Linked DNA regions of Saccharomyces cerevisiae S288C. The main gene of each other region encodes a partner of the protein of the gene in region 4 in a complex. Each region holds a gene or a part of one and is shown on either strand. Other genes may lie near its edges. The genes, in order: NGG1, SGF73, ADA2 and HFI1. A codon is read from its position in the direction of its gene.

Region 1 (8,332 bases), on a different chromosome or scaffold from region 4:
ACTGATGATATATTTGGATGGTATACTTTTGTGTCGAACTGCATCTTTGGTGGTTTGAATGGATACTCCATAGGTACTTCGATATCCACGACAAATTTGCCACCCTCGTAAGGTGTTCCAGGTGGGCCCAAAAATGTGCCTTTTAAATGGTGGATATCAGATTCACTCACAAATTCAAGAGTAATGTGAGCTGCAGGATCATCCTTCACAGCTTGGATTTCTTTCATAATTCTCTTAGCCCTAGACATCGCTTACTTCTTACTACTACTACTTATATATATACCACTTGTTTTTTTTAATGTATCCAACCACTAAATTACGATACTTATGTCGTCACACTTGCTTCAATTGACTTTACCTATACGCCCGCGATCGGAAGTTCATGCATTCAACTGTCATCTCATTGTTTTTGCCCCTCCAAATATTTCAGATGGAAGAAAATGTAACAAAAAAGGATATTAATGTTCGTATTATGTGACTATTTTTTTTTTTTTATGGATAGTTATCCAAATTGTTAGTTATATGCGTTATTATGCTACGTATTTTTCCTTAGAGTTCGTATATTTTAATTTAGTTCCACGTCCTTATTAGTGTTTTGTGCAAATACATCGGCTTCATCCTCATCTTCTTCTTGGTCCATGTCCTTGAATACGCTTTCATTGGGGATTCTCTTCATAATTTCAGGTTTATCAAACAATGGACCAATCTTATTAATCCACCTTTGCCTTTTATCCAGAAGGGATTTTAAACTTGAGTTTGCAGCCTTTTGTTGTGCTATTTGAGACGTGGTTCCTGTGTTCACATTATTTGAAGCTGCTGTATGATGCTTCTTTCTTTTCTTGGGTACGCGAATACGTTTGACATAAGCCTGGTCGATTTGTTTGTCTAAATCTTCTAAAATAGATGAGTATTCCTGCCATGCTAGTTGTCTTTCCACTAGTGGAATCAATTGGGCTTTCCTCTTTTGGTTTTTCTTGGTCACTTGTTTTAAAGTGCCTTGCAATTCTCTTAACTCTGCGCTTATTTCGTCGTCTTCTCTACCGGTGACCCAATCGGGGTCATCTGAGTTAGGGTTGTTCTCATCCTTAGGCAAATTCATGTATATCCCTACATACTTTAGTTCTCTTTTCAATCGTTCTTCGAATGTTGGATAGTCCAGGTTAATTCCATTTGTTATCCACCCAATTTGTTGGGGTAACGTACTTGTAGTACCGCCATTACTGCCTTTATTTTCTGCCAGTTTTGCTTGGAAAGATGCTTCCTCATCAATGTCATTGTCAGGTGTTTGAACACTGGGCCCGTTCTCCTGAGATAATGTCATGTCTACAGTATCATTGTTGTTGTTTCTAAACGATTGTATATCGTCTTCCCCTCCGGTTCTCGGTAGTCCGCCATCCCGTATTATTTTAGAAGATTGCAATTCTGATTTGTCATTGTCATCTTTTAATACAGCACTCAACAGCCTAGATAATAAGGGCCCACACGATATACTGCCCGATTCCAAAGCATTATCATCAAGTTCGTTGGCACTTTTTTTTGGTAGTATAGTAGATGCATCGTTTGAATATGGTGAAGGTTTTTTATAGGCAGAATTTTTGTCGTTTTCATCTTTGAACCAAACATCTGTGTATAAAGGGCCTAGTTTCGGTATAATAAACGGGTTTACCTCAGGGTCATAAGTTTTGTCAAATTGCAAGCTATCGGGTATAATATATTTCATCTTCAAAAACTTTAAGTTGTCATCACTAAGATCTTTGAAAAAATTTTCCACAAATGCTAGAAAGGTATTGAATTGAATTTGGTTGGTTGGTTTAGGATGCGAAAAGTCCATATCCGGTAATTCACCTGGTAACAGATCTTTCAAATCATTTGTTGGATAACTAGCTACATTGTATTTTTTTTTTAGGAAGTCTTCTCCTGTACTTTCTAGTCCCTCTTCATTGAATAAGCCGAGTGCTGCTGCTGCTCGAGGTAACGTTTGCGATACTACAAATTCTGATTTTGGATTTTTAACAGTTGGATCGTTTTCCATTTTGTCAACGTCAATTTTTTGCTTCTTATTGTCTGGCCTCTGTGTGTTTTCATTTTCAGTGGCCCTATTTTCAGTTTCAGAATCGAACGGCCTCTTTTCTCTGGGTTGATCTCTATGAACTTGTAAATCTTTGTCTTCATTAATTTCTTCTTTAGCCATATTATCAGCCGCTTGTTTGATGCTTTCTACATCGTTCTCAATTGTGCCGGAGATTTCATTAGAAGGAGGAGGTTTTGGTGGGCTTTGTACCCCTTTATCAATTATATTCGTTTCTTCAGTAGCAGTAGAACTTTCGTGCTGCCCGTCTGCATTTGAAGTTTCCTGCTTTTCATCGTTTGCTTGCTTCTCATTTTTACTGTCTCTTATTTTCCGAAGCGCTTCAATGGTCTCTTGATCACCTCGGGCAATTGTACCCAGTATTTCATTGAGACTATCCAATTGACTTTGCAATTCAAGTAAAGTTTTTTTATTGGGTATGGACCTAACACTTTTGCCATTGAGCATTCCAATATCACGCTCGAAGGTCAAATCTAAAGTTTTAAGCATTGACGATAAAAGCTTTGACGGAGTATTGTCGCCTCCCTCCTTTTTAGGAAGTTTCTCGCCTTTTGGCAGTTTTCCTCTTCTTCCATGTCTAGGCATATGTCCTGTCCAATACTTCTCGTCGCTCCGTCTTTGTTATGTTTTTCCAACTTCCTTATTGTAATCGCTACCACGAATATTTCATTTGATGGCGTTCATTTAATGACTGCCTGCCATTGTTTTGTTGTCGTCGGCGAACCTTTATCGCGTTGCACGTCGGAGCTCTTTAATGAGTTCCGCTAAGAAATTACGCTAAATGGGACCTTTTCTGTAACTGATTCTGAGTATATTTCGATCTGTGAACAAGGCAGTAGAGTTACCGAAACATTTGACACTACTAAAATACTATTCTTAGGAAGATGAAAGTACCATTGGGGTTATGGAAAGTCTCTCGGGGTAATTTGTGGAGCACCCAGAAAAGGGTTTTGACAATGTCTAGATGTTTGAACAGTGATGCTGGTAATGAAGCTAAAACTGTGAGAGAAGGACCAGCTTTTTCAGCAGATCTCTATATGCATCCCGAAAAATGGAAGGGTTTACCTCCTCAAAGAATTTTAGAGTTATATTGGGAGAGAATGGCTAGATTGGGTTCAGAGTATAAACCTAACAAAGACGAACTGAATGCCTTATTAACCACTTCTGAGTACTCAAATGTACCTGTTAACGATATTAAAAAGCTATATCACAGAGGAGAACAAGGCGCTATTGATATAAAAGGTGGAAACGTGAATCGCGATAACAGTCTTAGACCGTTTATGTTTGATGAATTGCCATCGCAAGCTCAGGAATTGGTTGCCCAACATCGTGAACAAAGGTTCTATAATCGATTAGCCGCATATGAGTTACCGCTATTAGCTCAATATCGCCAGGAATACAAGAGACCATCTCCAGAAAGTCATCCGGTCACTTATAGATACACTAGTTATGTTGGCGAAGAGCATCCCAATTCGAGGAAGGTTGTATTAAGCGTTAAAACCAAGGAATTGGGCCTGGAGGAAAAATCATTACATAAGTTCAGAATATTAGCCAGGTCGCGTTATGATCATACTACAGATATTTTTAAAATGTCTAGTGACAAATTTGAGCATGCATCACAAAATGCACGTTATTTGCATGATATTCTTCAAAGGCTGTTAGCGGAGTCAAAAGATTTGACGGAGGACGATTTTAGCGATGTTCCCCTTGACACAAGGCATACTATAGCTAAGAGTTTACGTAAAAAGAAGCGGGATTATGAGTTTCCTGAACACTGGAAACGCCCTGAAGATGCACCAAAGAAGAAATTTGATATTGTAGATCAATTATTGAGCACTCTTTAATACATGTTCAAAAACAAAAAGAACGGCCCCCCTGTATATATTATGTATTTGTTTTGCTTCCTTCTTTTTCTCTAAAATGTACATAGTTTTAGCACAATACAACATTGAGAGGTTTGAAAAGGTATAATCGCAAATTTAGAACTATATACATACATATACACAACGAAAATGAAAAGGAAGATATACTGTTACAAGAGGAGAGGGATAGATACATATATATATATATATATGTGCATACACTATGGGCAAAGCAAGCCCATGCTGCTATATTTTATTCCTTTTTTTATTATTATATTTATTTTAGAAAGACAGTAGAGTAATAGTAACGAGTTTGTCCGTCCATCAAATAGAAGAGTTGGATTTGTCCTTCTTCTTATCCTTCTTCTTCTTCTTCTTCTTCTTTTCCGAAGATCCATCATCATCGTGAGGTCTCTTTTCCACAGGAGGTTCAGCGGCGTGCTGTAAACTGAAAGGAATTGGAACCGGCGCATGAGTTGGACCGTTTTCCAAGGAAGCTGGTGGTAGGGTACCGTTTTTCTTTGCTTCTAAGTATTTGGATTTCTCTCTTTGGTAATTCTCCAACTCGACGTTGTAAGCCTGCTTCCATTTTTCTTTTTCGTTATCACTCAATTCCTTCCATTTCTTGGAGATTTCTTGAGTAATCTCAGTTGAGGATAAAGGTGGCAAGCCAGCCTTTTGTCTGTCTTCACGAAGTTCTTGACGAACGTACGCAGAGTAAGCAAAGAAAACAGTCAGTGGCTTCTTTGGAGCATTTGGATCACGTTCGATCTTTCTTCTTACAGCCTTGACTGGAGCAGCGATAATAGCATCTTTATCATCATCAATAGGGTTAACCAGCTCCGAGCTGATGCCGTGCAAGTGGTTTACACCAGAAGTCAATGTTTGCAAAGACTCAGTCAAAGTGGTGAAAGCCTCTATCTTCTCTTCTTCATCGTCGCCGATGGCATTGTAGAAATCAACAATAGAGGAGGCTGTCTGATTAGCAGCTTTTGATAACTCGAAGAGGGAGGAGACGAGGGAGTCTTTGGCGGACTTCAATTTGACAGAAGGATCTGTAGTCATGGTGTGACAGGCTTGTTGTGTGTGGTAGGATGTACATCCTAGAGTATAAGGCAGTAGACCAGCCCTGAGGGCCCGCTGGGACTAATTGGTACTTCTTGCTAAGTTCTTGAAGGAAGAGAGTGTTCCAGGCAGAGTTGCCCCCCGTGGTACTGGAGAGAATCTGAGTGAATTCCCTTCCGGAAGCTTCTCTCCGCCACAACGGTCGGATGAAAAAAAAAAGCGGGAAAAAAAATGGTGAAAAACCACGTTCTCGAAGCCAATTGGTAGATAATCGAGTCGGGTAATATTTCTCAGAAGTAGGCTGGGTAACTAAGTATCTCACCAAAATGTCTTTATACTGTATACAAATGGTGGGACAAAATGGAATAAGATAAAGCCATTGGAGATCCCTTTTTTACCAGTAATCAGTTAAACAATTTCCATTAGTAGCTTACATGGATATGTGCATACGTGTGCCTAAGTAGAAATTTTTTTCACATGGATACGGTAAACAATTATAGGGTTTTAGAGCATAAAGCTGCTGGCCACGACGGTACTCTAACAGACGGTGATGGATTGCTCATCTTTAAACCGGCCTTTCCGCAGGAACTGGAATTCTACAAAGCCATACAAGTGAGAGATGTGAGTCGAAGAAAGTCTTCGGCTGATGGAGATGCTCCCTTGTGCTCTTGGATGCCCACGTATCTTGGAGTCTTGAATGAAGGGGCAAAAATCGAGCAAAGTGGCGATGCTGCGCTTCTGAAGATAGATGAGCGGTTAAGTGATTCCACTGATAATCTTGATTCAATACCTGTAAAGTCTGAGAAGTCCAAGCAATACCTCGTTTTAGAAAATCTACTATATGGATTTAGTAAACCTAATATACTTGATATAAAATTAGGCAAAACTTTGTATGATTCGAAGGCATCATTGGAAAAAAGAGAGAGAATGAAAAGAGTCAGTGAGACGACGACTTCAGGATCTTTGGGTTTCAGGATATGTGGCATGAAAATACAGAAAAATCCCTCTGTGCTGAATCAGCTTTCGCTCGAATATTACGAAGAAGAAGCAGACAGTGATTATATCTTTATAAACAAATTGTATGGTCGTTCAAGAACCGATCAAAATGTTTCAGATGCAATTGAACTTTATTTTAACAATCCTCATCTGTCGGATGCGAGAAAGCATCAACTGAAGAAAACATTTTTGAAAAGATTGCAGTTGTTTTATAATACTATGCTAGAAGAAGAAGTTAGAATGATATCAAGTAGTCTTTTGTTTATTTACGAAGGAGACCCGGAGCGATGGGAATTACTAAATGATGTTGACAAACTTATGCGAGATGATTTTATAGACGATGATGACGACGATGATGATAATGATGATGATGATGATGATGATGCCGAGGGAAGCAGCGAAGGACCAAAGGACAAAAAAACAACTGGTTCTTTGAGTTCCATGTCACTAATAGATTTTGCACATTCTGAAATAACGCCGGGGAAGGGTTATGATGAAAACGTGATTGAAGGAGTTGAAACCTTGCTAGATATTTTTATGAAATTCTAGATATATTGAGAGGTGAAGTTTACCTTGTTTATGGTATATGGTACAAAAAGAACTAAACTAATTATACGTCTATATATATATATATATATATAACAGCTTTATTAAACCTTGTTTTTTAATATAGAAGAAAATGCTTTATGATCGGTATTATTGTGTTTGCATTTACTTATGTTTGCAAGAAATTTACTCGGCAATTTTAACAATTTTACCAATTGCTATTGTGGTACCTTGATCTCTCAAAGTGAATCTACCTAATTGAGGGTAATCTTGGTAAGTTTCCACACAAACTGGAGCTTCAGTTTCTAAAACAGCGATGACCTTCATACCCTTCTTAGCAAAAGCAGGTGGTTTCTTTGACTTACGGTTGGTACCCTTTTCTAATTTGTGCAATAACTTAACAATATGTACCTCTTCAATTGCTGTATGAACATGCATAACACATGAAAAACCGGCTGCTATGATAGATTTTAATTCTACAATAGCAATTTGAGCTACAAACTTGGTAACACTCTTGATAGGGTTCTTTGGCGATGTTAGTACAAAACCTGGTGAAATGTCTTCTTCTTCAACACCTTTGATTCTTAGTTTAACTTGCTCACCACACATAGCCATATCAACTTCATTTTCAGTTTCGTTGTAAATATTTTGAATTTCCACAGCGGTTTTGTTAGGCATCAGTAGGGTGGATTGACCCTTTTTGATATGACCGGATTCAATTTTACCTTCAACGATGGTACCTAGATCCTTCATCTTAGCGGCAATAGGCAACATGAATGGAGCATTGATGTGACGGTCGACGTGGTTCATTGTATCCAGATATTCTAACAGAGTTGGGCCGGTGTACCATGGGCATTCTTTTGGATCTACGTGATCTTTCAAATTTGCACCACTGTAGCCGGATACTGGCATAAATACAACGTCTGTCTTAATGTTGTAACCAATTGCTCTCAAGAAATTGCTGACATTACTCACACATTGGTCGTAACGTTCCTTAGACCAGTTAACGGTTGGGTCATCCATCTTATTTACGACGACAACCATCTTATTAACACCTTGGGTCTTGGCCAATAGGGCGTGTTCACGAGTTTGACCACCTCTCTCAAAACCGGTTTCGTACTCACCCTTTCTGGCGGAAATGACCAAAACACCAACATCAGCTTGAGAAGCACCACCGATCATCTCGGAAACGTACATTTTATGACCAGGAGCATCCAATATGGTATAACGCCTTTTTTCAGTTTCAAAGTAGGCCTTACCAACTTCGATAGTCTTACCATCATTTCTTTCTTCTTTGTTGGTATCCATGACCCATGACAAGTACCAACCTTGTCTGCCTGCATCCTTGGCTTCTCTTTCATATTTCTCAATAGTTCTCTTATCCACAGAGCCAGTCAAGTATAGTAGATTACCACCCATAGTAGATTTACCGGCATCAACATGACCCATGAAAATTAAAGAAACGTGATCTTTACCACCAAACATATCGTTAACAACTTCGTCATCCACTTCTTCTTCCTGTTCCTTGATCAAGGCATCAGCACTGGTAACATTGGCATTGTTGGTATTATGTGTTGATTCAGAGATTTTAAGGTCTTCTACCTTTGGAAGTTCCGATTTTTCCTCCGTCTTTTCTTCAGTCTGGACTGGTTTCTCCTCCTTTTTAACTGGTTCTTCGACCTTTGTTGGCTCTTTAGTTGGTTCTTTGGTTTCAGCAGACTTCTCTTCCTCTTTCTTATCAGATTCGGCAGGTTTTGTGCCAACCTTCTTGGTA
Region 2 (7,987 bases), on a different chromosome or scaffold from region 4:
TAGCTTCTTTTTTTATAAACAAGTGCCTGGCTAGATGAACGCGCGAACAACAAAATAAATGATGTATTCATTTTAACATCAAAAGATTACGTTCGCCATTTAAGAAGTCACGAAATAGATACAGTAGTAAAGACAGATAAAAAAGAGTCGATTAGACAAGCAAAAATGATTGAAAAGGATAAAAGAACGATTGCTTTTATTCATCCAGACCTAGGTATTGGGGGCGCTGAAAGGTTAGTCGTCGATGCAGCATTAGGTCTACAGCAACAAGGACATAGTGTAATCATCTATACTAGTCACTGTGATAAATCACATTGTTTCGAAGAAGTTAAAAACGGCCAATTAAAAGTCGAAGTTTATGGTGATTTTTTACCGACAAACTTTTTGGGTCGTTTTTTTATTGTTTTCGCAACAATTAGACAGCTTTATTTAGTTATTCAATTGATCCTACAGAAAAAAGTGAATGCGTACCAATTAATTATCATTGATCAACTGTCTACATGTATTCCGCTTCTGCATATCTTTAGTTCTGCCACTTTGATGTTTTATTGTCATTTCCCCGACCAATTATTGGCTCAAAGAGCTGGGCTATTGAAGAAAATATACAGACTACCATTTGACTTAATAGAACAGTTTTCCGTGAGTGCTGCCGATACTGTTGTGGTAAATTCAAATTTCACTAAGAATACGTTCCACCAAACGTTCAAGTATTTATCCAATGATCCAGACGTCATTTATCCATGCGTGGATTTATCAACAATCGAAATTGAAGATATTGACAAGAAATTTTTCAAAACAGTGTTTAACGAAGGCGATAGATTTTACCTAAGTATAAATCGTTTTGAGAAAAAAAAGGATGTTGCGCTGGCTATAAAGGCTTTTGCGTTATCTGAAGATCAAATCAATGACAACGTTAAGTTAGTTATTTGCGGTGGTTATGACGAGAGGGTTGCAGAAAATGTGGAGTACTTGAAGGAACTACAGTCTCTGGCCGATGAATACGAATTATCCCATACAACCATATACTACCAAGAAATAAAGCGCGTCTCCGATTTAGAGTCATTCAAAACCAATAATAGTAAAATTATATTTTTAACTTCCATTTCATCATCTCTGAAAGAATTACTGCTCGAAAGAACCGAAATGTTATTGTATACACCAGCATATGAGCACTTTGGTATTGTTCCTTTAGAAGCCATGAAATTAGGTAAGCCTGTACTAGCAGTAAACAATGGAGGTCCTTTGGAGACTATCAAATCTTACGTTGCTGGTGAAAATGAAAGTTCTGCCACTGGGTGGCTAAAACCTGCCGTCCCTATTCAATGGGCTACTGCAATTGATGAAAGCAGAAAGATCTTGCAGAACGGTTCTGTGAACTTTGAGAGGAATGGCCCGCTAAGAGTCAAGAAATACTTTTCTAGGGAAGCAATGACTCAGTCATTTGAAGAAAACGTCGAGAAAGTCATATGGAAAGAAAAAAAGTATTATCCTTGGGAAATATTCGGTATTTCATTCTCTAATTTTATTTTGCATATGGCATTTATAAAAATTCTACCCAATAATCCATGGCCCTTCCTATTTATGGCCACTTTTATGGTATTATATTTTAAGAACTACTTATGGGGAATTTACTGGGCATTTGTATTCGCTCTCTCCTACCCTTATGAAGAAATATAATGTCTACTTAAATAAATAATGTATACCCCCCGAAGAAAAAATAATTTACATTGGAGAAGAAATCTCTAAATGCAAATAGCGTAACTTGTCCACAAACATAGACGTGTACATGTTACTTCGGCGAATAATTTTTTATTACTCACTTCGTGAACATGCTGGATAACGTGCATGATTCAATTAATTTATTCTGCCATTGTAGGGGTTCACAGAATTTCCAATACCTACTTCAATTCTCCCGTTATTGCCAGAGACATTAATACCGGTAGATACACCTTGCCCGGAGCCATTGACGCTGTTGACACTAGGGGGAGATTGGATACTATTTACGCTAGTATTGGGAGAGCTTATGGAGGCTTTCATCGTCATGAGGTTATTGTTACCGTTTTTACTACTATTATTGTTGTGGGTGCCAGATAAATGGCTATCTTGATTTGATTCTTGCATTAATTTGGTAGCGTTGGCTAAATATGAAGCAGCAGCTTCAAACTTCTGTTGTTGTAGTTGTTGTTGTCGTAGTTTTTGTTGTTGTGATTGTATCTCCAGCGGCGTGAGACCTGTGTCTTGAGACTTGTGCTGCTGCTGCTGCTGCTGCTGCTGAATTTGCTTGCTCGACACATTGGCATTAAATGATGAATTCGTTGCCCCGCCGGGGAAATGATTGGGCACCATACCTTGAGTAGGTTGTTGGGTACTGGCCTGGGCCTGCGCTTGGGGTGAGTGATGTTGCTGCTGCTGTTGCTGCTGTTGCTGTTGTTGAGAAAGAAGCTGAGCCTGTAGAGCTCTCTGTTGTTGTAGTCTTTGTATTTGTTTCGGATTGAGGTTTTGGTTTGTGAGGTGATTAATTGGCTGTGGAGTCCTAACACGAAATTTGTAATCTGTTGTTCTATCCAAATCCAAGCATCCTACACGAGAATGGATCGCACCGTAACCTGGAGATGTATATCCTGGTTTCACAGAAAAGGAGGAAGCAAACATTTCCCTCATTCTAAAATATTTAGTCCTGTATCTAACTGACGATAGTACCGTTGACTCTAGTGGCAGTGGGAAAGATCGGGATACCCCATTTAGAACCTGTGTTGTTTCCTCTTCAGGAGTTAGGTTAACGTGTCCTATCTCATTGATATTGTTACCATTGTGTACAGTACTCTTACCACCATTTTTGGCTGATTTCCCACCATTCACATTTCTTTGCTTAGACCTTTGACCTTGTTTCTGTTGCTGAGTATGTTTTTTCTGCTCTTTTTGTATCTGCTTTTGTAATTTTTGTAATTCTTGTTGCTTAGCACGTTTCTCAGCAGCTGCACCAATTTTTGTTTGATGTTCTCTATGATAATCTGCTAGCAAGACGTCGTAGGGCTTGGAACGACCAGAGACAGCCCTCTTTGCACCCATTGAATGGGACTTACATGTCAGCGAACGTGCACAGTAACCACCTTCCGGCAACTCTACACCACACTGTTTGTTGAAATCAATTAAATGCTTTTCAGTTGGGTTTCTTTGTTTGACTTTCTTTTGTTTTTTTATGGAAGAGCTGAAGGTTTGAGGAGTCCCAGTTTTCGATCTTTTCGTGTCCATATTTGGTGTGTTCGCAGATTCCATAGATGTGGATCTTTTCAAAGGGTTAAAAGAAGAGTCATTCTTCTTGTAATTGGCACCATTGGAATTATCGTCGTCATCATCAGCGTCATCATCATCTTCGTTGTCGTCGTTATCGTCATCATCATCATCATCATTGTTATTATCATTGCTATTGTCATCGTCGTTATTATTTCTCCCAGTTGATTCTACTCCATTTCGTATCGTTTCCCTAGTACTCTCATCTCTTGGATCTGTGCTACTTTTTCCAGATGCTCCCGCACAATGGTTTTCTAAGTGGTCTACAATTGCTGTCAAAGCTAAGGGTTTCCCACATTTTTCGCACACTCTATACTGAATCGGTTTATCCAAAGGATCTTCAATGAGTTGTGCATTCGGATTGAAGTATTTTTTTAGACTTTCGCGATTCATGTGATCATACTGCAAAGGAGTGTCCTTCGCGGACGACATTAAACTTTTCCATGAATCGTTGGAAGGACCACTTCCCTGAGATAAAGAATATTCCTCAATAACTTTGGGCTTAATTCCTTTAATCTCTGCATCGCCTGACCTCATTTTAGCTCTTTACTCTTTTGCGCTTCTCTTGTGTGTTCACTATTCTTATTTTTTTGGTTTATTCCGTTTTGGTAAATTAATCTCTAATGAGCGATGCTGGATATCAAAAAGGTTCTAAATAGTAATTTAGAAATTATTTTACAGCTATGAACAACTATATACGCTCTTCAGCTCCACTTTCTTCTGTTCGTAATGATTTTTGTTTCAAAATTGCTTGTACCAGCAATCTAACATCCTATATTCATTCATTTAGCATTTGCATTATGACGCACCTCTGTTTTCTTCGGGTAACTGAGTGAAAAATATCCATATGCTGAAGCACGCCTATTTATCAATGTTTATTATATTAAAAACTATAGATGGCTCGATGAGGTCTTACGTAAGTTTTTATAGTTCTCGCAAACATGATTGATTAATTGGAAGGCAATGGTAGTACTTCCAGGTAAATTGATATCATTTTTGAATGGAACACGATACCCGCCGGCGTACTTATCCAAAGCTTGAATGATTTCAGTTGTATCAAACCATTGAGCATCCAATAATTCGTCGTCATGATTCAGGTTGATAACCTCATTTTTGGAATTGAATTGAACTATGCCTAAACAGCCAATCATCAAACTGCAAGGGTAAGGCCAGGGCTGTGACCGGACTATATCAATATTTTTGCATGAAATGCCTGTTTCCTCCCATATTTCTCTGATACAAGCCTCCTCTATGGTTTCTGATGGCTCCATAAAACCTGCTATTGTTGAATACAATACAAAATCACCGTACCTTTTTTTTGATCTTGCCAGACAACACTTAGAGTAATCCGAATTGGTCAAGGCTATAATGACCGTTGGATCAGTTCTTGGGAAGCAAACGTTATTAATTCTTGCATCTCTCACATTACAGTATACATTCCGATTTTCATTAGAACACTGAAGCTTAGTTCCTGCCTCTACTGGGAATAACGGAGACCCACAACCGGGACAGAATTTGTACTTTGCTAGCCAATCCAGATACATCTTACCTTGTGAATAAAGTGAAGCATCCTCATTTGTTTGTTTGAAAATGTGATCTCTGGTCACCTTCGGATAGGAAAAAATAGGCTCAAAGTCGACTTTCTTGAAGAGTGTGCTCTCAGTAACACGGATATCTAATCCAAAATATGGTGTTCCTTTGTAAGAAATATTAGACCATTCAAAATTAAATGCAGAATCTGTGCCTTCCAGGAGACCTAAAAATGTTACATTGATGCCTGATTCATCGCTTCTTGAGCGAGTTGTGTTCAATAAAGTAGTGTATAAAGGAACTATTGCTGACAAAATATTCTTGTAAGACTTTACAGAATTAGAAAGCTGAACTAGGTCACCATTTTCGGGCGAAATGAGGGCTTCCCCTTCGATAAATGGGATAAAAACGGTAGAGTCATGGTTCAATGATTTTTTGATGAACTCTTTCGAACATCTTAAGAACGAAACTCTGTTCAAGACATGCTGGCCAAAAAAAGTCACAGCAGTGGACATTCTCTCAACTAACCGTAGCGTAATCAAAAAAAAATCAGGAGCAAAAAGGTACAATCTTTATCTTCTCTTTCGTTTCGCTCCTGCTCTTGTTCTTTATTCTTATGGTTGGTGGGCTTTATATTTCGAAGAAAAGCAACCGCTTTTGTAAGTTGGAAAAGTAGATTTATGAAGTGATAGATTAGCCCGTCTGAAATACTTATAACACGAAAACGAATGCCATAATGAAGTTGAAGATACTATAGAAAATAATAAGGAAATCAATCATTTTTATACATCTACTTGCAAGAAGCGATGTGGCAAAATATATAAAAGGCAGGACGAAAGAAGAATAAAGAGTTAAACATATTTACATGATATATTCCTTATTTTCTCGAAGAGAAAACAGACTATTTTGATTAACACGATTGGTAGATTGCTACAGTTTTAAAATCATTCTAAACTGACCTTAGCTCCTAAGTCTTCCAAGGTTTTCTTAATCTTTTCAGCATCATCCTTGGCGACATTTTCTTTCAAGACCTTTGGTGCAGCTTCAACGAATTTCTTAGCTTCAACTAATGAAAGCCCCAATAATCCCTTGACTTCCTTGATGACTTTAGCCTTAGTCTTCGTGTCGAACGAGTCCAACTTCACCGTAAACACGGTCTTTGCCTCAGGCTTAGCTTCTTCTTCAGCACCACTACCAGCTTCACCAGTGGAGCTAGGTACATTACCAGCACCTGCGCCTGCAGCGCCTGCCATGAATCCGCCCATAGGCATGGAAATTTCTGGAATGTTCAATACGGTTTTCAGCTCGTTGATTAAACTGGAAGTTTCCAAAAGAGTCAATTGTGAAATGTCCTGTACAATTTTAGAAATTTTAGGATCAACTGGCCTTACATCATCCTTATGTGATGGTGCTGTTGTAGTCGTAGAATTGAAACGGGTTGTGATAGTAATAGGAGAAATTAGCGCTGGTGTAACGCGCGTTTTCATCCAGATAGAAGAAGATCTCTTCGCTAGTATACGTAAGGACATACTGGGCGCTTATTTAATTGACTGTGTTTGCTGCTGACGGGCTGCTTGTCCTGTTCCTTCCAGAACTTACCGAGTTCTTGTTTGCCATTAGTTTGAGTTGTTTTATTGGACTTCAAGACATAGGGCGGGTAAGTTGAAAAATTTTGTTTTGGTGAATAGCGTTAAAGAGTAAGTCAAATGGAACAAGAGCAGATTCTAGGTAGAACGAAAGTTACAAAATCTAGCCAAAAGAGCAAGTTAAACTCCCCTTAAAACTGCTATGACTACGTTTAGATTTTGTCGTGACTGCAACAATATGTTGTACCCTCGTGAGGATAAAGAAAATAACCGGTTGTTATTTGAATGCAGAACATGCTCGTATGTAGAAGAAGCGGGCAGTCCATTGGTCTACAGGCATGAATTGATTACCAACATTGGTGAAACTGCGGGAGTGGTGCAAGATATTGGTTCCGATCCCACTCTTCCGAGATCTGATAGAGAATGTCCCAAATGTCACTCTCGGGAAAATGTGTTTTTTCAATCACAACAAAGAAGAAAGGATACTTCGATGGTTTTATTCTTTGTGTGCTTATCTTGCTCACACATATTTACTTCAGATCAAAAAAACAAAAGGACGCAGTTTTCATGAGTGCTCAACGAACTTTCAAAATTAATGACAGAGGGAGAGAAAATGGGACTTATCTTCACGTATGTCTTGTATGTATGAGAAAAGCACTACTATTTACACCAGCCTAATCTACCGGCAAAAGGATGATGTGAAATAACAGGGGGAAGGAACATGAAAAAATCCTGATCTTAGCACCGATATATGTAATATAATAAGAACGATTTTTTATCTGTAACAAAAGTAGAAAAAAGAATGTATACTATTGTTTTCTTTTTCTTCTTTAAAAAGTCAAAATTGTATAGATGCGTATATGTTCAGTATATAATTAATGAAGAAAGATGAAAATGTAATGAAAATGGACGAGAGATACGTCTAAGTTTGATTTCATCTATATGCTAATCTTCTGGCTTCACATACTTCAACTCGCCGTTCACCATTTTAATGTCTTTGAACTCTTCCAATAATGTGTTTCCCATTATTTCTAGCGATTCATGCGTTTGCATATCCTTTTGTACTGTTTGGTGCTGTTCGTGGTTATGGCCGTCGTGGGGCTGATTTTGGTGATATTGCAATTGCTGCGGTGGCTGCTGTTGCGGACCATATTGATGTGATCGTACTTGAGGTTCATTAGAGCTGAGATGACGATGGTCAACATGTTGAAAATCTATAGGATGTTGAGAACCGTGTGGGCCATTTTGTACAAATTTCAATTCGTCGAAGATTTTTGTTGAAGAGCTGCCAACTAAAGCTTCTTGTCTTAAAAGTGAGTTGCCCAGATCAGAAACGTTATGCTGAGTATTTAGCGAATGTGAATTGTTGTTTGGAACGCCGATGTTATTGTGGTTAGCAGCATCGGAGTGCGTCAAATATTGTAGAATATACTCATTATGTTCTTGGGAACTATTAGCAAATCTATCAATAATATCCTGGTTTTCCTGATGTGTTTCATTTGGGTCATGATGGACTGGGGGAGCACTACTAAGAATTTGGCTGAAATCTGCCTCTGAGTTCAAATATGGAGAATGAACAA
Region 3 (7,089 bases), on a different chromosome or scaffold from region 4:
TCCCACGCCCAATAAGGCTAAAAGGATAGAGTTATCCGAGCAATGTAATATGTCCGAAAAATCGGTTCAAATATGGTTTCAGAACAAAAGGCAGGCTGCTAAAAAGCACAAGAACAGTGGCAACACCAGCCATTGCAAAGTTCACTCTAATGATTCGATGTCTATGATATCTTACTCAGACGCTGCGTTGGAAATTACCTCTACGCCAACGAGTACGAAGGAGGCTATTACTGCAGAGTTGCTGAAAACTTCACCTGCCAATACGTCCTCGATCTTCGAAGACCACCACATAACGCCTTGCAAGCCCGGCGGACAGCTCAAGTTCCACAGGAAATCTGTGCTTGTTAAGAGAACATTATCAAATACCGGTCATAGCGAGATTATCAAAAGTCCTAAAGGCAAGGAAAACCGCCTAAAGTTCAATGCATACGAAAGAAAACCCCTTGGGGAGGTCGATCTCAATTCTTTCAAAAACTAATCTTTCTCAGTGTTTATTTTCTTGAGCACTGATGCTATCAATATTAACAAAAACTACACAAAGTAATGACTGAGACTACACCAACGTTTTTTTTTAGATTTAAAGCGGCCTGTTTCATAAATCTATATAGAGATGTAATATTATATTCTTTCAAGGGTCCATTTATCCCTGAAACCCTGTACAAAAAAAAGGCAAGTTGAAATTATGGTCACAAAATTAATTTTCTTTTCTTTATTTATTTTAAAAAAAAGTCAATTAGGAAGTGCTATGGAAATATATGTACTCGTACAAAAAAGATTAAGCTTGAATAATCTTATCAGTTTAAGCTCTTCTTCTACCAGTGGTCTTGGTGTGTTGACCTCTAACACGCAAACCCCAGAAGTGTCTGATACCACGATGAGCTCTGATTTTCTTTAATCTTTCCAAGTCATCTCTCAATTTGGATTCGACGTTGTTAGCCAAAGTGTGGTAGTCCTTACCATCAGTGATGTCATTTTGACGGTTCAAGAACCAAGCTGGGATTTTGTAGTGAGTTGGGTTTTGCATAATTTGAACAATTCTTTCCAATTCTTCTTGGGTCAATTCACCAGCTCTCTTGTGTAAATCAACATCAGCCTTCTTACAGACCAAGTTGGAGTAACGACGACCAACACCCTTGATAGTGGTCAAAGCGTAAACGATCTTAATGTTACCGTCAACGTTAGTGTTCAACAAACTGCGTAAAAAAATTTAGACGGGAAACCGAACTTATTGATAAACGTTAGTAAAAAATGTGCATAATGGATTTCACGGCCAAGACAAAAATCGGAGCAGGATATAAAATTTTAGTGTTGGTTGGTCAATATCCGCCAATAGCTGATTCATTGTAAAGCATTCCCGGTACTTTACCTCCGACCGCTATTGCAATGTTCCGTAATTATGTGCGCTTATGCCAAATTCATGTTCCTTTTTGATGCATAAACCATAAATTTGTTCATCAGCCTTATTATTACGTTCTTAGTCCAGCCCGGGAACATCATTATTATATTTAATCACGTCGTTAGCGAATAATCGCCACGATTAAAGAGGTGAATGAATTTCCTTTCTTGTCTGTCATATTTTTAAGTTTTTAGCCGATTTTGTCATAGCTCACTAGTAATAATAAACATACCGTAAAATGTGTTGGAAGGAACCTTGTTCTTGGACAACTAAAGACATCTTTTATCCGCTCTTGTGTATACGTTCACTAGTATCTCAACGTTTAAAAACTCTACTAATAACATGTAGAGCTATCTTCAATTAACCCTAGCTTTGACAATACTTAGTGGTCGAATGACAGATGTGTCCGACCTGGCTGGGGCGACATTTGCTCTCCCGGGCATGATCTTGGGATGGGCATATGGGACTGGGAAAGGCATCTTTCGGAATCGCAGTTCCCCTGAGCGCGCGTCTCCGCAAGGAAACACCATATGCCGCTTCAAATTTCTAAAAGCAGCATGTAGAATATTTTCAGATAGCATGCATGGGTGCGTAATGTACGGATGTTTAATGTCTTTTTAATCATTGAAATTAAATGTACTTTTTTGTTGCCAGACACGAAACTGTACGCCAGTAAGTGATGTGGATGCTATTTTAAAAAAGTTTTGGATATAATGGCCTGCTGTTCCTAAAATATACTAGAATTAATAATATCGTTCTCAATTTATGCTCATGGGCCGTTTAAAAAAAATACTTTGTAAAAGTTAATTTAAGGTATTGACTGCACAAGTGACAAATTATAACCACATCTCTATTGAAACACTTGCCGTGATCAAGATTATATTATACATGTATGCTATTTAATTTTTTCAAGTCCTATTTTTACTTGTTTTCAGGTGCAAAACTGCTTTAGCGCAATACCGGTAAGAATAACGAAAAAAACTTGTAGTATCAGTACTTTATGCTGCGGGTGATAAAGTTCGATGCGTCAAAATATTACTATATCGTTAACATTATGAGCTTTTACGCGAAGTGGCTAGGTTCTATTTTGTGCTTTTCCTGCGCTGTCAGATATAAGCTTCATTAAGTGATGGGAATCCGAACACGCTTTTTCATCCGGGTATTCTCTTGAAAATTTTTTAGAAAGATCTGGGCGATGAGCTAAATATCAGGAACACACAGTGAACGTGAATAAACACATATCTAAGGGCATAACATTGTGAAATTGACCAGAGATACACACATCACCGATTTCTAATAATGTCGAAGACAAGATACTATTTGGAACAATGTATTCCTGAAATGGATGACTTGGTGGAGAAAGGACTATTCACTAAAAATGAAGTTTCATTAATTATGAAGAAAAGAACTGATTTTGAGCATAGATTAAATTCCAGAGGGTCTAGCATAAATGACTATATAAAATACATTAACTATGAAAGTAACGTCAATAAATTACGTGCCAAGCGGTGTAAGAGAATCTTACAGGTTAAAAAGACGAACAGTCTATCTGATTGGTCTATTCAACAAAGAATAGGTTTTATTTATCAAAGAGGAACGAACAAATTTCCACAAGATTTAAAGTTTTGGGCAATGTATTTGAACTACATGAAAGCGAGAGGTAACCAAACATCATACAAAAAAATTCACAACATTTATAATCAGCTTCTAAAGTTGCACCCAACGAATGTGGACATTTGGATTAGTTGTGCGAAATACGAATATGAAGTTCATGCTAACTTCAAGAGTTGTAGAAATATTTTTCAGAATGGGTTGAGGTTTAACCCTGATGTGCCTAAGCTATGGTATGAATATGTAAAATTCGAGCTGAATTTCATCACTAAGTTGATTAACAGAAGAAAAGTGATGGGTTTAATCAATGAAAGAGAGCAGGAGCTCGACATGCAAAATGAACAAAAGAATAACCAAGCCCCCGACGAAGAAAAATCTCATTTACAAGTTCCATCCACTGGTGATTCAATGAAAGATAAATTAAACGAGTTACCAGAGGCAGACATCAGCGTACTAGGTAATGCAGAGACCAACCCAGCATTACGCGGTGACATTGCATTAACTATTTTCGATGTGTGTATGAAGACTTTGGGCAAGCATTATATTAATAAGCATAAGGGTTACTATGCCATCTCAGATTCCAAAATGAATATTGAACTAAATAAGGAGACCTTGAATTACCTATTCAGTGAGTCACTAAGGTATATTAAACTATTTGATGAATTTTTAGACTTGGAAAGAGACTATCTTATCAATCACGTGTTGCAGTTTTGGAAAAATGACATGTATGACCTTTCGCTCCGTAAGGATCTACCAGAATTGTATTTGAAAACAGTAATGATTGACATCACTCTAAATATCAGATATATGCCAGTTGAGAAACTCGATATTGATCAATTACAATTGTCTGTTAAGAAGTATTTTGCATATATATCGAAATTGGATAGCGCATCGGTGAAGTCATTGAAAAATGAGTATCGTTCATATTTACAAGACAATTATTTGAAAAAGATGAATGCAGAAGATGATCCTAGGTATAAAATTCTAGATTTAATTATCAGCAAACTTTAAATGCGGTACTGTACATTTTATAAATGCAATTACATATCAGATAAATGTTTATTCTTTTAATATTACAACCAAAAAAAAAAAAAAAAAAAAAAAAAAAAAAAAAAATTGGAAAGAACCGATATACGGTATATAAAATCGAGACAAGGTCCCTTTATGACTTGGCCAATAATAACTAGTGACAATTGTAGTTACTTTTCAATTTTTTTTTTGTTACATCCAATTCTGGCTCTGGAAAAAATCGTATATTCTATTCGCTTTTATGGGGTCTATATTAAGTAGTTCCCTACATGCGCTTTTGCTTAGATTACCCCCAGTCTTCAACAGTTCTCTGAACATTACCTCTTTTAGAACGAGATACGGTTTAGGTAAAATTTTCAGTTGAATACAAAGTTGCTGCTCGTCGTTGGACAACAGTGCATAGTCAGGTGCATGCTGTATATCGCTAATGGTCATATTTTTCTTTCTACCGCCATTTTCGCTGTAGTTTTGGCTGTATTCTGCGTTCGACCTATGTGCAGAATTCGACCTATAACGGCTATTGCCCTCACTGAGTGACGCCGCCGTAGAAGCGCCAAATTTCTCGAAACTGCTAATTCTAGCTTGCTTATCTCGTTCATACTTAAGACCTGCTTCTAACGTGGTTAACCCATTGCTTCTCCATTCTTGTAATTGCTGTATTCTTGCCCTGCAATGCAATTCTTCTAATATATCCTTGCTAAATTCCTCAAAATCCTGTGCAGTCATAACACGAGCAAAAGGTTTTATGCGGTTATACAATTCTTTGGCTTCTTTGCTCCTCTTTTTGTCAATAGCTTGCAACTTTCTGTAATCCATTAAATGGTTTTCAAATAATAGCCTTTTCTTTTCTGCTCTGGTTGTCAATCTAGAATTGTAAATGTCCAAGATGGCAAACTTCAATTCAATGTCTAAGGGCTGGTCATCAGGTTCAAAAACCATATCCTTTACGGGACCTTCAGCTTCATTTTCGAATTCTGTTTCAAATTCTAATCTGCCCGGCATAAACCCCTGTACTTCATGGCAGCTAGGAACCGATGCCATGGGCTTTCTTGGAGGCTCTAGCGGCCTCTCCCGGAAGGACTCGATTCTATGCCTTCGCTGTTCCAAAAATTCATCTTGTGGGACATGTATATTTTGGGTAATATCAGGTATTGGATAGTATTTGCTTTCCAGATAATATTTTAGGTAATGTTCCTTAACTTCTTCTTTGCCTCTGCTGCCTATATGGTCAGCAATATCCTGCCAATTACCGAGCCCTAAAGTCTGTGCGCCTTTAATCAACTGCAATTCTTCATCGGCACCCCAATCAGGACAGAGAATGGGGTATGAATTGGTCTCTATTATCCTATAATCATGGTAAGGGCGATGCTTTCCTGTATACGAGCCTTGTGAAAAGCAGGGCACGCATAAGTCGTATTCGGGACAAATAGCACATGAAACCCTCACTCTGTTCGTGCAATCAGCTGAACAAACGTCACAGTGAAACTTGTTTGACATTCTTTTTGCTTAATGTATATATTTTCAGACTACGCTGATATTTTATCGAAAATGGAGGGTGATTAGAGAAAAATTATTTTTATCATTAACCTAAACATCGAACTCTGGCATGTACTTTCCCAATCGTGTTGATTTTCACTTATTTGTTTGGAACGTCTGGAATTTTCTACATATATAAAGCTCCCTGTAACATCCATACATTCGGTTAAAATTACACCCATACATTTATAGTATTTTTTCCATCGTTAGTTTTTCGTATTATGGGCATTCCGAAGAATTTCATCTGGAAGACGCGCATTGATTGATATCGTTTTCTCAGAGGTCGTACCGTTTCGAGATGAGGGAGAAGGTTCAGGCATCGAGGTCTACCGGAGCAAGGCCAGTCCTTCCTCCCGTTAGTACCTCTGTTAAGGGTAAATTTCAAGTAAACAGATATTTTACATATTAATTATTTATTTTGCGTTGTATAACCTAGAGAAGAATAAATAGATAAAGAAAAAAGCAGATAAAAATGGTACGTACCACGAGATGTTGATGAAGCCGGATATGATGGACTGGGCGCTGAACACATGAAATGAGGGCAAGGTTTGCAGAGAGATTGAAAGCGTTATGGGAACGAGGGGACCAGCAGGGCATTCTTATTTATGAGCAGATTAGAAAACTCCATTACTGATTAGTTTAGAAGAGCGCTCAATGAAGTAGTAGATATTTAAAAGATCACCAAATAACCAATTGCTTTCGAATGGCACATTCTATCTTATCCAATGGTCTTGAAGAGAGGTATTTACTAACTTAAGTTGTCTCATTTGATTATTGCTATTTTTATAGGGTAGAGTTAGAACCAAGACCGTCAAACGTGCCTCCAAGGCTTTGATTGAACGTTACTATCCAAAGTTGACCTTGGATTTCCAAACTAACAAGAGACTTTGTGATGAAATTGCAACTATCCAATCCAAGAGATTGAGAAACAAGATTGCTGGTTACACTACTCATTTGATGAAAAGAATCCAAAAGGGTCCAGTTAGAGGTATTTCTTTCAAATTGCAAGAAGAAGAAAGAGAAAGAAAGGATCAATACGTCCCAGAAGTCTCTGCTTTGGACTTGTCTCGTTCTAACGGTGTTTTGAACGTTGACAACCAAACCTCTGACTTGGTTAAATCTTTGGGTTTGAAGTTGCCATTATCTGTCATCAACGTTTCCGCTCAAAGAGACAGACGTTACAGAAAGAGAAACTAAAAAGCATGAATTGATATAGTTATTATCATGTCGTCTGTTTTACTCCATTTCATTGAGGACTCTCCTTATGTATAGTTAAATAATTTCAATATCATCTAAAATATGAAAGATATGATTCATTATTAGGGATGTATTCTCTTAATTATAAGCATTTTGTTACTGAATATAGCACCTTTGATCAACTTTATGAAGCGTTTATATAATATTGAGAATTTCATTAGCCAAAGTTTTAACTTTCTTAATTTTTCCTTCTAGTTGTTGACCCTGTTCTTCTAGGGCATCTGCCCTATCATTGATTACAGAAATAATACCCTTAAATT
Region 4 (7,434 bases):
CGTTCTCTTCCGTCGATCTGGAACCAAGCTGTGGCGCTGCGTGGAACCGTCCGGAAATCTACAGAAGCCGTTAGAAGAAAACAGAATAAACACACGTGACCCCGTCAGTGTGGAAAGCCGCGGGATCACCACCGTTATTCGTTTTTTTTAGCACGCGCGCGAAGATGACACATTGCACACCACATGTTTATGACCATTGTTATTACTCATTTCACTGTTATTTTGCATCCACATCCACACCCGGGTGGTTTTGCAATTCGGTAATTACTCCACGGTGCATAAAGAAGCGGCTCTGCGTAAAAAGGTATATATAAGAACAGGACTCATCTTGATTTCGGAAAGGGTCTGGAGCAACTCTCTTTCTTTCTTACTTGTTTTATTCTTGAGAAAACCAAACTAAATTGGCTACACCAAACCAACCAAACTTACACACAATAATATACAATTACAATTATTTACAATGTCCTCTGTGGAATCTTCCCCCATCTCGCGCTATGAAGACGAGGTCTTCCCTCTTTCGTTTTCAAACGTTGCTTTCGAGCCCCCTATGCTCTCGCATAGCCCGGACAGATCGACTTATGCCGATGACTTTTCTCAATCTTACCAGCAAGAATTGCTAACTTTTCCGCTATCGTACCCGATTGTCGATGAGTCAGAATGCACGCACACTAAAGATAAGACGGACAGCAACATAATAACGAGTACTGAAGACGATTGCATGTTCGATATGGAATTTAACGGCAACGCCGCCAGTGCAGTTGCTGCTGCTAGTAAGGAATCTAACTCTGCCTCTGGGTTTGCCTTTGCAAGTAACGATGCCTTTGCCAATGTCGCACAACAGAACTACAGACTGTGGTTGTCATCGGTATGACGCATTTTACCACATCTCTACTTGTTCTCACGACCCCTTGCATCGCATATCCTACACATTTTAAATCGGCATTCCTTCCAAGCATATTCTTAATTCCTAATTTTACATAGTTTTTTTTTTTTTTTAGAGAAAATAACAACAATATACATAGAACTTACTTACTCAATTCTACTATATCTTTTTTTTTTGTTACTATTAGTCATGTTTGCATGACTCCATTACATTTTCGTTTTTTTGCTAGCCAATTCTGGTCGTCGGAAAAACTTTTCATTGAATCTTTCAAAGCGTGTAGCAGTTGCATTTTTTTAAAAATGAATATGTATGCAAAATATATATATGTATATATATGCCTAATATACATAATAATAGAAAAAAAAAACCTCATACGAAATAGGCGCTTCTCGTATCTATACTCAACCCGCCCCCAATGCTGAAAATTGTTACTCGGGCTGGACACACAGCTAGAATATCGAACATCGCAGCACATCTTTTACGCACCTCTCCATCTCTGCTCACACGCACCACCACAACCACAAGATTTCTGCCCTTCTCTACGTCTTCGTTCTTAAACCATGGCCATTTGAAAAAACCGAAACCAGGCGAAGAACTGAAGATAACTTTTATTCTGAAGGATGGCTCCCAGAAGACGTACGAAGTCTGTGAGGGCGAAACCATCCTGGACATCGCTCAAGGTCACAACCTGGACATGGAGGGCGCATGCGGCGGTTCTTGTGCCTGCTCCACCTGTCACGTCATCGTTGATCCAGACTACTACGATGCCCTGCCGGAACCTGAAGATGATGAAAACGATATGCTCGATCTTGCTTACGGGCTAACAGAGACAAGCAGGCTTGGGTGCCAGATTAAGATGTCAAAAGATATCGATGGGATTAGAGTCGCTCTGCCCCAGATGACAAGAAACGTTAATAACAACGATTTTAGTTAATGTCTGCATTTTTACCCCTCATTTGTGCCCCCAATTTCTCCTGTGAATAATCTATATATATATATTTATAATTATAATTATAAGGAAACAAGTCAACTTTATAATATACTCTTAAACAATCGTTTCGCGATATCCTCTGTCATGCCTCCACTGCCAGGTCTTTATTGTTTAGTCTCAATAATCGCAATTAAGTTAATAATATTTGCAATTGCGGCAAAGAAAAAATAGGTAAACAAAGAACTGAAAAAACAAAAAAAACAAAAAAACAATGAATATAGAATATGAAATGCCCTAACAACACACACATACACACACATTCTCCTCGCAAAAGCACCATTTCCTGACCAGTGTACTTTATGGCGTCACAGCAAAACAAACACGCTTTTCTTTCAAAGAATAGAATCTTTCACAATCCCGATAATGTGTCCTCATCAAAATCTCGAAACCTTATGGATATCACAAACACGACAAACACCATGAATGGCTCTAGACCTTCGTCTATGAAGAGTTCATTGGCTCTTCCACCCGTAAAGGATTCCTTCCCATCTGTATCTCGATCTGCATCATTAAACATCAACATGAGCAAAATTAAGGACTTAAAAGACCGCCAAGACAAAATAAGGTTCCAAAGACATACTCTCAGGACTCAATTGATTGAGTGCGAAAGAGAAATCAAAACCATCAAGTTTCGAGATCTCAATAAGTCCAGGTTTGAACTTTATAAGAAAAAATCCAAACAAGCAAAGTATCTCAAACAGGTTAGAGATTTGACGCAAAATCTGAACTCCAAGGACGGTGAACGCGCTGATTTAATTAAGAAGAACAAATCCGCTTTGGCAACCTTGCAGGCTGAACTCGACCAGAATCTGATCTTGAAAAGGCAGGAATCTCAAGAATTGTACAATAATAAGCTTATCTTTTGGGAAAATGAGCTGCAAATAATGGAAAATGTCGAGCCTGACCACGAAATCACAGAGGAAATATCTCAGTTGAAGAAAACGCTGCAAGAGCTCAACATAAATTGGGCGAATTTACAGAAGCAAAACTTGGAAAGACAAGTAAACCACGAATCACAATTGAGGAAGGATTTTATTGCATTCAAAGAAGCTAAGTTAAAATCCATGGAAAATTTGACAAACAAACATCGTGAATTACTTGATCAGATAGCCACTCTACAATCGGAAAGTGAGAAGTTACACAAGGAGATCATGGATATAGATAGACAAGCTGAATATTCGGAACAAAACATCTCAGAAATAAATGAAAATATAAAACAATTGGAATTGGCAAACAACCCACTAATAAGCAAATCCTTACAAAACTCGCAAGATTTGGAACATTTACAAAACCAAATGGAAAATTTGAAAGAAATGGCCTCTAAACAGGAAAAATTTTATAATGATACCTATAACACTGTGGAAAAAGAACTCCTGCGGAGTAGGAGACTTGAAAACTCTATTATTGAACAAAAAGGCACGATGCGCTGTTACGCTTACGTGATGGAGCAAAATTTGCCTGAGAACCTTTTATTTGATTACGAAAATGGCGTAATAACCCAAGGTCTAAGCGAACATGTTTACAAATTTAATAGGGTGATACCGCATTTAAAAGTTTCTGAAGATAAATTTTTCACTCAAGAGTATAGCGTTTACCATGATATGTGCCTGAACCAAAAAAAAAATTTCAACTTAATATCTCTAAGCACCACTCCACATGGCTCATTGAGAGAGTCTCTAATAAAATTTTTGGCCGAAAAGGATACAATATATCAAAAACAATATGTGATCACCTTACAGTTTGTATTTTTATCAGATGACGAATTTTCTCAGGACATGCTCTTGGATTATTCCCACAATGATAAAGATAGCATAAAGTTGAAATTTGAAAAACACTCAATTTCTTTGGATTCCAAACTTGTCATCATAGAAAATGGACTCGAAGATTTGCCCTTAAATTTTAGTTGTGATGAACACCCAAATTTACCTCATTCTGGGATGGGTATAATCAAGGTGCAGTTTTTTCCTCGAGATTCAAAAAGCGATGGCAACAATGACCCCGTACCGGTGGACTTTTATTTTATCGAGTTAAATAATCTGAAGTCCATTGAACAGTTTGATAAAAGCATCTTTAAGAAGGAATCATGCGAGACCCCTATTGCACTTGTTCTGAAAAAACTAATTTCTGATACTAAATCCTTTTTCTTGCTAAACTTGAACGATTCAAAAAATGTCAATAAATTATTAACGATTTCAGAAGAAGTTCAAACACAACTTTGTAAAAGAAAGAAAAAGCTCACTTAAGCTCGGTCACATTATCGTCTTTCTTAACACAGCCATTTAGATATGAAACAAATAAGGTTTATAATCTTTCAATATAATTACAACATACCGCATACACACACTTTTTATACATCAATCTTCCGTTAAGATTCCTTTAATTAACCAATTTAATTCATGCCTTGTACCAACGTTTCTTTCATCCAAAGGCGTGAAAGTCGGCTTTTCATTTAAGAAGTCCGGCAAGTCGTCAATATTGCTCTTCATATCTACTAGTTCATCATCGTTAACTAGCCCTAAATTAGTTAACGCATAGTATGAACCTGAAGGTTCAACCAAATTCGGAAATATAGATAACGAATCATATATGTCTTCATTCGTTAATGATATCGTTCTGTTTTCATGTAACTCCTCATTAACTGCTTCGCCAGCCTTTGTAATGCTGCTCATTGATATGTCGCCAATATCGTCCTTGCTACTGTTATTGCCGTTATTAATACTTTTGGCTTCATCGGCACATTCATCCTCATTTTTATCATCATCTAACTGCTTAATTTTGGCATCGCGTTTATCAGCAGCCATTTCTGATACGGATTTATAAAGCCCACTCTCATTCAAATCATAATAATCTGAATATTTCTTCCTTCTATAACGAACTGTATCAATAGTAAACTCTATTATATTTTTTAGATATTGATCTAGGGCCAATGATATAAGCTCTACGCAACGTGCGTCCACTGTGCCGACTAACCCATGTTCTCTTGCTATACCAACCATTCTTAAGTAAAACGAATCCGTGTCTGGTAAAGAATGGCTTTCGCTCGCTAAAGGAACGTTGAATCCATTCATTATATCTTGTGACCATTCCAGCGGCGTTTTTAAATTATTGCTCTTGACACGCTTCAAACTTTCTGGATTGGTTACAATGGGAATTTTGGGTATATTATTTAATCTGGCTTGAAATACAGAGCAAAAAATGAAGCCTCTTTTGCCGGCCTCTTTCGTGATCATTTTAAGTCTATTTCGATCATTTAGAGGTAACGACATGACAATTTTTTTATAGACTTCAATTTGAGAGTTATGCTTATTGATTCTTTTTAGTTTATTGTTTGGATTGTTGCTTCCATTGCCAAATCCCCAAGAACTCTCATTACCGTTTCTCCCAAGAGGGTTTTCACGTAATGAATTAGCAAAAATCCCTAATAAAAGTTGGTTATGAAGTCGTACTAAACTATGGTGATGATTTGTATTTGATTTTTCTAAGCTTGCAGCGCTTGGTGAAAATACCAGCTCTAATTCATTAGAAAGTTCCTTTCTGGATAACTTCCCTAAAATGAAAAGACTGATGATCTGAGCATATTTCGTCCAGCTTTCTTTTCCCAATAGTGAGGTTAATTCTTCGATCATGGCACCCAAATCAATTCTCTGATTTGGTCCCTGAGGCTCCGCAGTTTCATTGTTACCATTGTTAGGCTCGGTATGATTACTGACGGCAGGACTACCAATTAGGCCCGGCTTCATATATGCATTCGTGGAAGCTGGCGAAGCAGCTGGATAAGTTGGCTGCAGAGGTTTAGGTGCTGGCGATTGTATAGCTGACATGATAGAAGAAATCAAAACTACTGGGCTTGTTTTCCCTATATTTTTATTGAATTTTTATTACCACTTATAGCTCAAAATTTATACTGTGGGAAAAATCACGTGCGAGAAAGTAAGCCCTATCCAATGATGATAACGAACAGACGAATGAAAAGAGCAACGATACTTTGTTAATCTGTTGTAAGTTCGATGTTCAAGGCACAAGTAGACAGAGACAATTTCGCGTTGCACCTACTTCTATCCTGAATTTTATCTTTTTTATTTTAACAAATTTATGTCACATCGTAACTTCAAGTTTCACTTTTTTTGTTCAAAATCGCAACCTGATAATGAAGAAAAAATGGGCGGGAATTACAGCTCGTGTTGAGTGATGATAATAAGAACGTATCTTTTTTTATTCCGTTATCTATATAATGTACATACCTAAGTAGTTAACACATTATCATTGCTATCATGACGTATTTTTAATGTTACAGTGGGAGAAACGTGTCAGCTTTTCTGCTTCAGCGTTCTATGAATCCGTCTATATTTTTTAAGTAATCAGTGTCCCATGAATGCGAATTAGAGTCGTAACTGTTATTTCCATTGTGGAATGGAGTCCTGTCCTATTGTCCTGTTGAAAAAATATTCGAACCAGCAGAAGTATCTTTTCTCTCGTTATTACGAAGGCTAAGCTGTAATAATAAATCATGTATTTCGGATTCATAATTGTCCCGCTGCATGTCCTTTTCTATTTGCAAATTGGTATATTTCAGCTCTAAATCGGATAGTCTTTGCTTCAATGTTTGTATTTCAAAGTTTTTCAAATCCTCCTCCTGATACAGCCGTTCCCTAGAAGTGGCCAGTTCAGCCTCATGACTGATCGTTTGATCAAGGACCTTTTTCAAACTCTTGTACTTCTGACCTAATGAATAATAATTTTCAAAGAGTGTCTTAGATTTCTTCAACTCGTTGACCAGTTCTGCTCTCATTTCCTCGTATGCTTGCTTATAAGTTTGCTCATTCCTGTGGAATTGCTCACGCTGCTCTCTAACATCCTCACACAAATCTTCCAGGTCTCTACTGTTCAAGTCCATTTGTGCAAAAAGATCAAAATATGCCTTTTTATACTCTCTATTCTTGTGGCAAGCATCTTCGTCCCGGACATAGTAATTGTCTATTTCATCACGTTTTGTTAAGGGAGATGGAAATTTGCCTGGTATATCTTTAACCGATAACTTATAGGGCGATCTTCTAACCTCATTAACTCCATCCTTGTTAAATAATTTCGAGAGCAAAGGGTCGTCTTCCTGAGGTGGTATAAAGGGTATCTGCGAATTGGAAAGCTCATTTATAGTTCTCCTTTTTGTGTGTAGTCTGTGACCAAATGTATCCGTAGGTTCGTTACGAAGTGGTTCTCTCGGTACTATCGGAGCAGGACTTCGTAAAGATCGTATTCTCTCTTTGCTGTGGTGGTCACCGTTAACAATTGAGTTAAAGCCGTTCTCGTTGTACTCTGGGAGTAACTCGTACTTCCTATGGAGCGTTGAATCCAGACCAGACCACGAATTTGACCTCGATAAGTTTGTACTCCTCCTGTTGGAGTCATTTCCAAACTTCATAGAAAAATTTGTGTCGTCTTGGGCATACCTAGATCGGTCTCTTCGTTCTTCCTGATCTTTATATTTCATTGAAGGTGATATGTCCGTACCAAACAGCGCATCCTTAGTCCATTTGAAAAGACCAAAAATGCCCCCTCCGCC

What was found.
Region 1: HFI1 (region 4) and NGG1 share a complex: the UniProt entries of both Saccharomyces cerevisiae proteins name them as parts of the ADA/GCN5 complex.
Region 2: the proteins of HFI1 (region 4) and SGF73 are in contact, whole or in part, in a cryo-EM structure (PDB 6T9I), measured with the Saccharomyces cerevisiae proteins. Residues at the interface, in NP_015069.1 of Saccharomyces cerevisiae: Tyr181 (codon at 5,155), Lys183 (codon at 5,149), Ile184 (codon at 5,146), Ser187 (codon at 5,137), Leu188 (codon at 5,134), Arg195 (codon at 5,113), Met198 (codon at 5,104), Ile199 (codon at 5,101), Lys201 (codon at 5,095), Glu202 (codon at 5,092), Ala203 (codon at 5,089), Arg206 (codon at 5,080), Phe208 (codon at 5,074), Ile209 (codon at 5,071), Phe210 (codon at 5,068), Phe214 (codon at 5,056), Gln215 (codon at 5,053), Ala216 (codon at 5,050), Arg217 (codon at 5,047), Leu218 (codon at 5,044), Asn219 (codon at 5,041), Asn220 (codon at 5,038), Ile221 (codon at 5,035), Pro222 (codon at 5,032), Lys223 (codon at 5,029), Ile224 (codon at 5,026), Pro225 (codon at 5,023), Ile226 (codon at 5,020), Val227 (codon at 5,017), Thr228 (codon at 5,014); in NP_011449.1 of Saccharomyces cerevisiae: Pro354 (codon at 2,769), Glu355 (codon at 2,766), Glu357 (codon at 2,760), Thr358 (codon at 2,757), Thr359 (codon at 2,754), Gln360 (codon at 2,751), Val361 (codon at 2,748), Leu362 (codon at 2,745), Gly364 (codon at 2,739), Val365 (codon at 2,736), Arg367 (codon at 2,730), Ser368 (codon at 2,727), Phe369 (codon at 2,724), Pro370 (codon at 2,721), Leu371 (codon at 2,718), Pro372 (codon at 2,715), Leu373 (codon at 2,712), Ser375 (codon at 2,706), Val377 (codon at 2,700), Leu378 (codon at 2,697), Ser379 (codon at 2,694), Ser380 (codon at 2,691), Val381 (codon at 2,688), Arg382 (codon at 2,685), Tyr383 (codon at 2,682), Arg384 (codon at 2,679), Thr385 (codon at 2,676), Tyr387 (codon at 2,670), Phe388 (codon at 2,667), Arg389 (codon at 2,664).
Region 3: HFI1 (region 4) and ADA2 share a complex: the UniProt entries of both Saccharomyces cerevisiae proteins name them as parts of the ADA/GCN5 complex.

Annotation. Positions count from the first base shown.
Region 1 is NC_001136.10:808,794-817,125, reverse strand, and holds NGG1 (histone acetyltransferase NGG1), read right to left. Parts: upstream 2,675-8,332; coding exon 566-2,674; downstream 1-565. Other genes in the region: E2 ubiquitin-conjugating protein UBC1, read right to left, coding at 1-248; mitochondrial 37S ribosomal protein mS35 RSM24, read left to right, coding at 2,974-3,933; HMO1 (Hmo1p), read right to left, coding at 4,276-5,016; ARG82 (inositol polyphosphate multikinase), read left to right, coding at 5,494-6,561; SUP35 (translation termination factor GTPase eRF3), read right to left, coding at 6,745-8,332. UniProt on the Saccharomyces cerevisiae protein: Component of the transcription coactivator SAGA complex. SAGA acts as a general cofactor required for essentially all RNA polymerase II transcription. At the promoters, SAGA is required for transcription pre-initiation complex (PIC) recruitment.
Region 2 is NC_001139.9:373,450-381,436, reverse strand, and holds SGF73 (deubiquitination module subunit SGF73), read right to left. Parts: upstream 3,829-7,987; coding exon 1,855-3,828; downstream 1-1,854. Other genes in the region: ALG2 (GDP-Man:Man(1)GlcNAc(2)-PP-dolichol alpha-1,3-mannosyltransferase), read left to right, coding at 166-1,677; NPY1 (NAD(+) diphosphatase), read right to left, coding at 4,182-5,336; mitochondrial 54S ribosomal protein bL12m MNP1, read right to left, coding at 5,766-6,350; DNA-directed RNA polymerase II core subunit RPB9, read left to right, coding at 6,610-6,978; DNA-binding transcription factor AFT1, read right to left, coding at 7,353-7,987. UniProt on the Saccharomyces cerevisiae protein: Component of the transcription coactivator SAGA complex. SAGA acts as a general cofactor required for essentially all RNA polymerase II transcription. At the promoters, SAGA is required for transcription pre-initiation complex (PIC) recruitment.
Region 3 is NC_001136.10:1,354,509-1,361,597, reverse strand, and holds ADA2 (chromatin-binding transcription regulator ADA2), read right to left. Parts: upstream 5,534-7,089; coding exon 4,229-5,533; downstream 1-4,228. Other genes in the region: YHP1 (Yhp1p), read left to right, coding at 1-478; 40S ribosomal protein uS13 RPS18A, read right to left, coding at 800-1,193, 1,629-1,675; snoRNA-binding rRNA-processing protein UTP6, read left to right, coding at 2,696-4,018; 40S ribosomal protein eS17 RPS17B, read left to right, coding at 6,045-6,047, 6,362-6,769; ECM11 (Ecm11p), read right to left, coding at 6,965-7,089. UniProt on the Saccharomyces cerevisiae protein: Component of the transcription coactivator SAGA complex. SAGA acts as a general cofactor required for essentially all RNA polymerase II transcription. At the promoters, SAGA is required for transcription pre-initiation complex (PIC) recruitment.
Region 4 is NC_001148.4:67,746-75,179, reverse strand, and holds HFI1 (Hfi1p), read right to left. Parts: upstream 5,696-7,434; coding exon 4,229-5,695; downstream 1-4,228. Other genes in the region: ATG41 (Atg41p), read left to right, coding at 461-871; YAH1 (adrenodoxin), read left to right, coding at 1,299-1,817; VIK1 (Vik1p), read left to right, coding at 2,174-4,117; BBP1 (Bbp1p), read right to left, coding at 6,298-7,434. UniProt on the Saccharomyces cerevisiae protein: Component of the transcription coactivator SAGA complex. SAGA acts as a general cofactor required for essentially all RNA polymerase II transcription. At the promoters, SAGA is required for transcription pre-initiation complex (PIC) recruitment.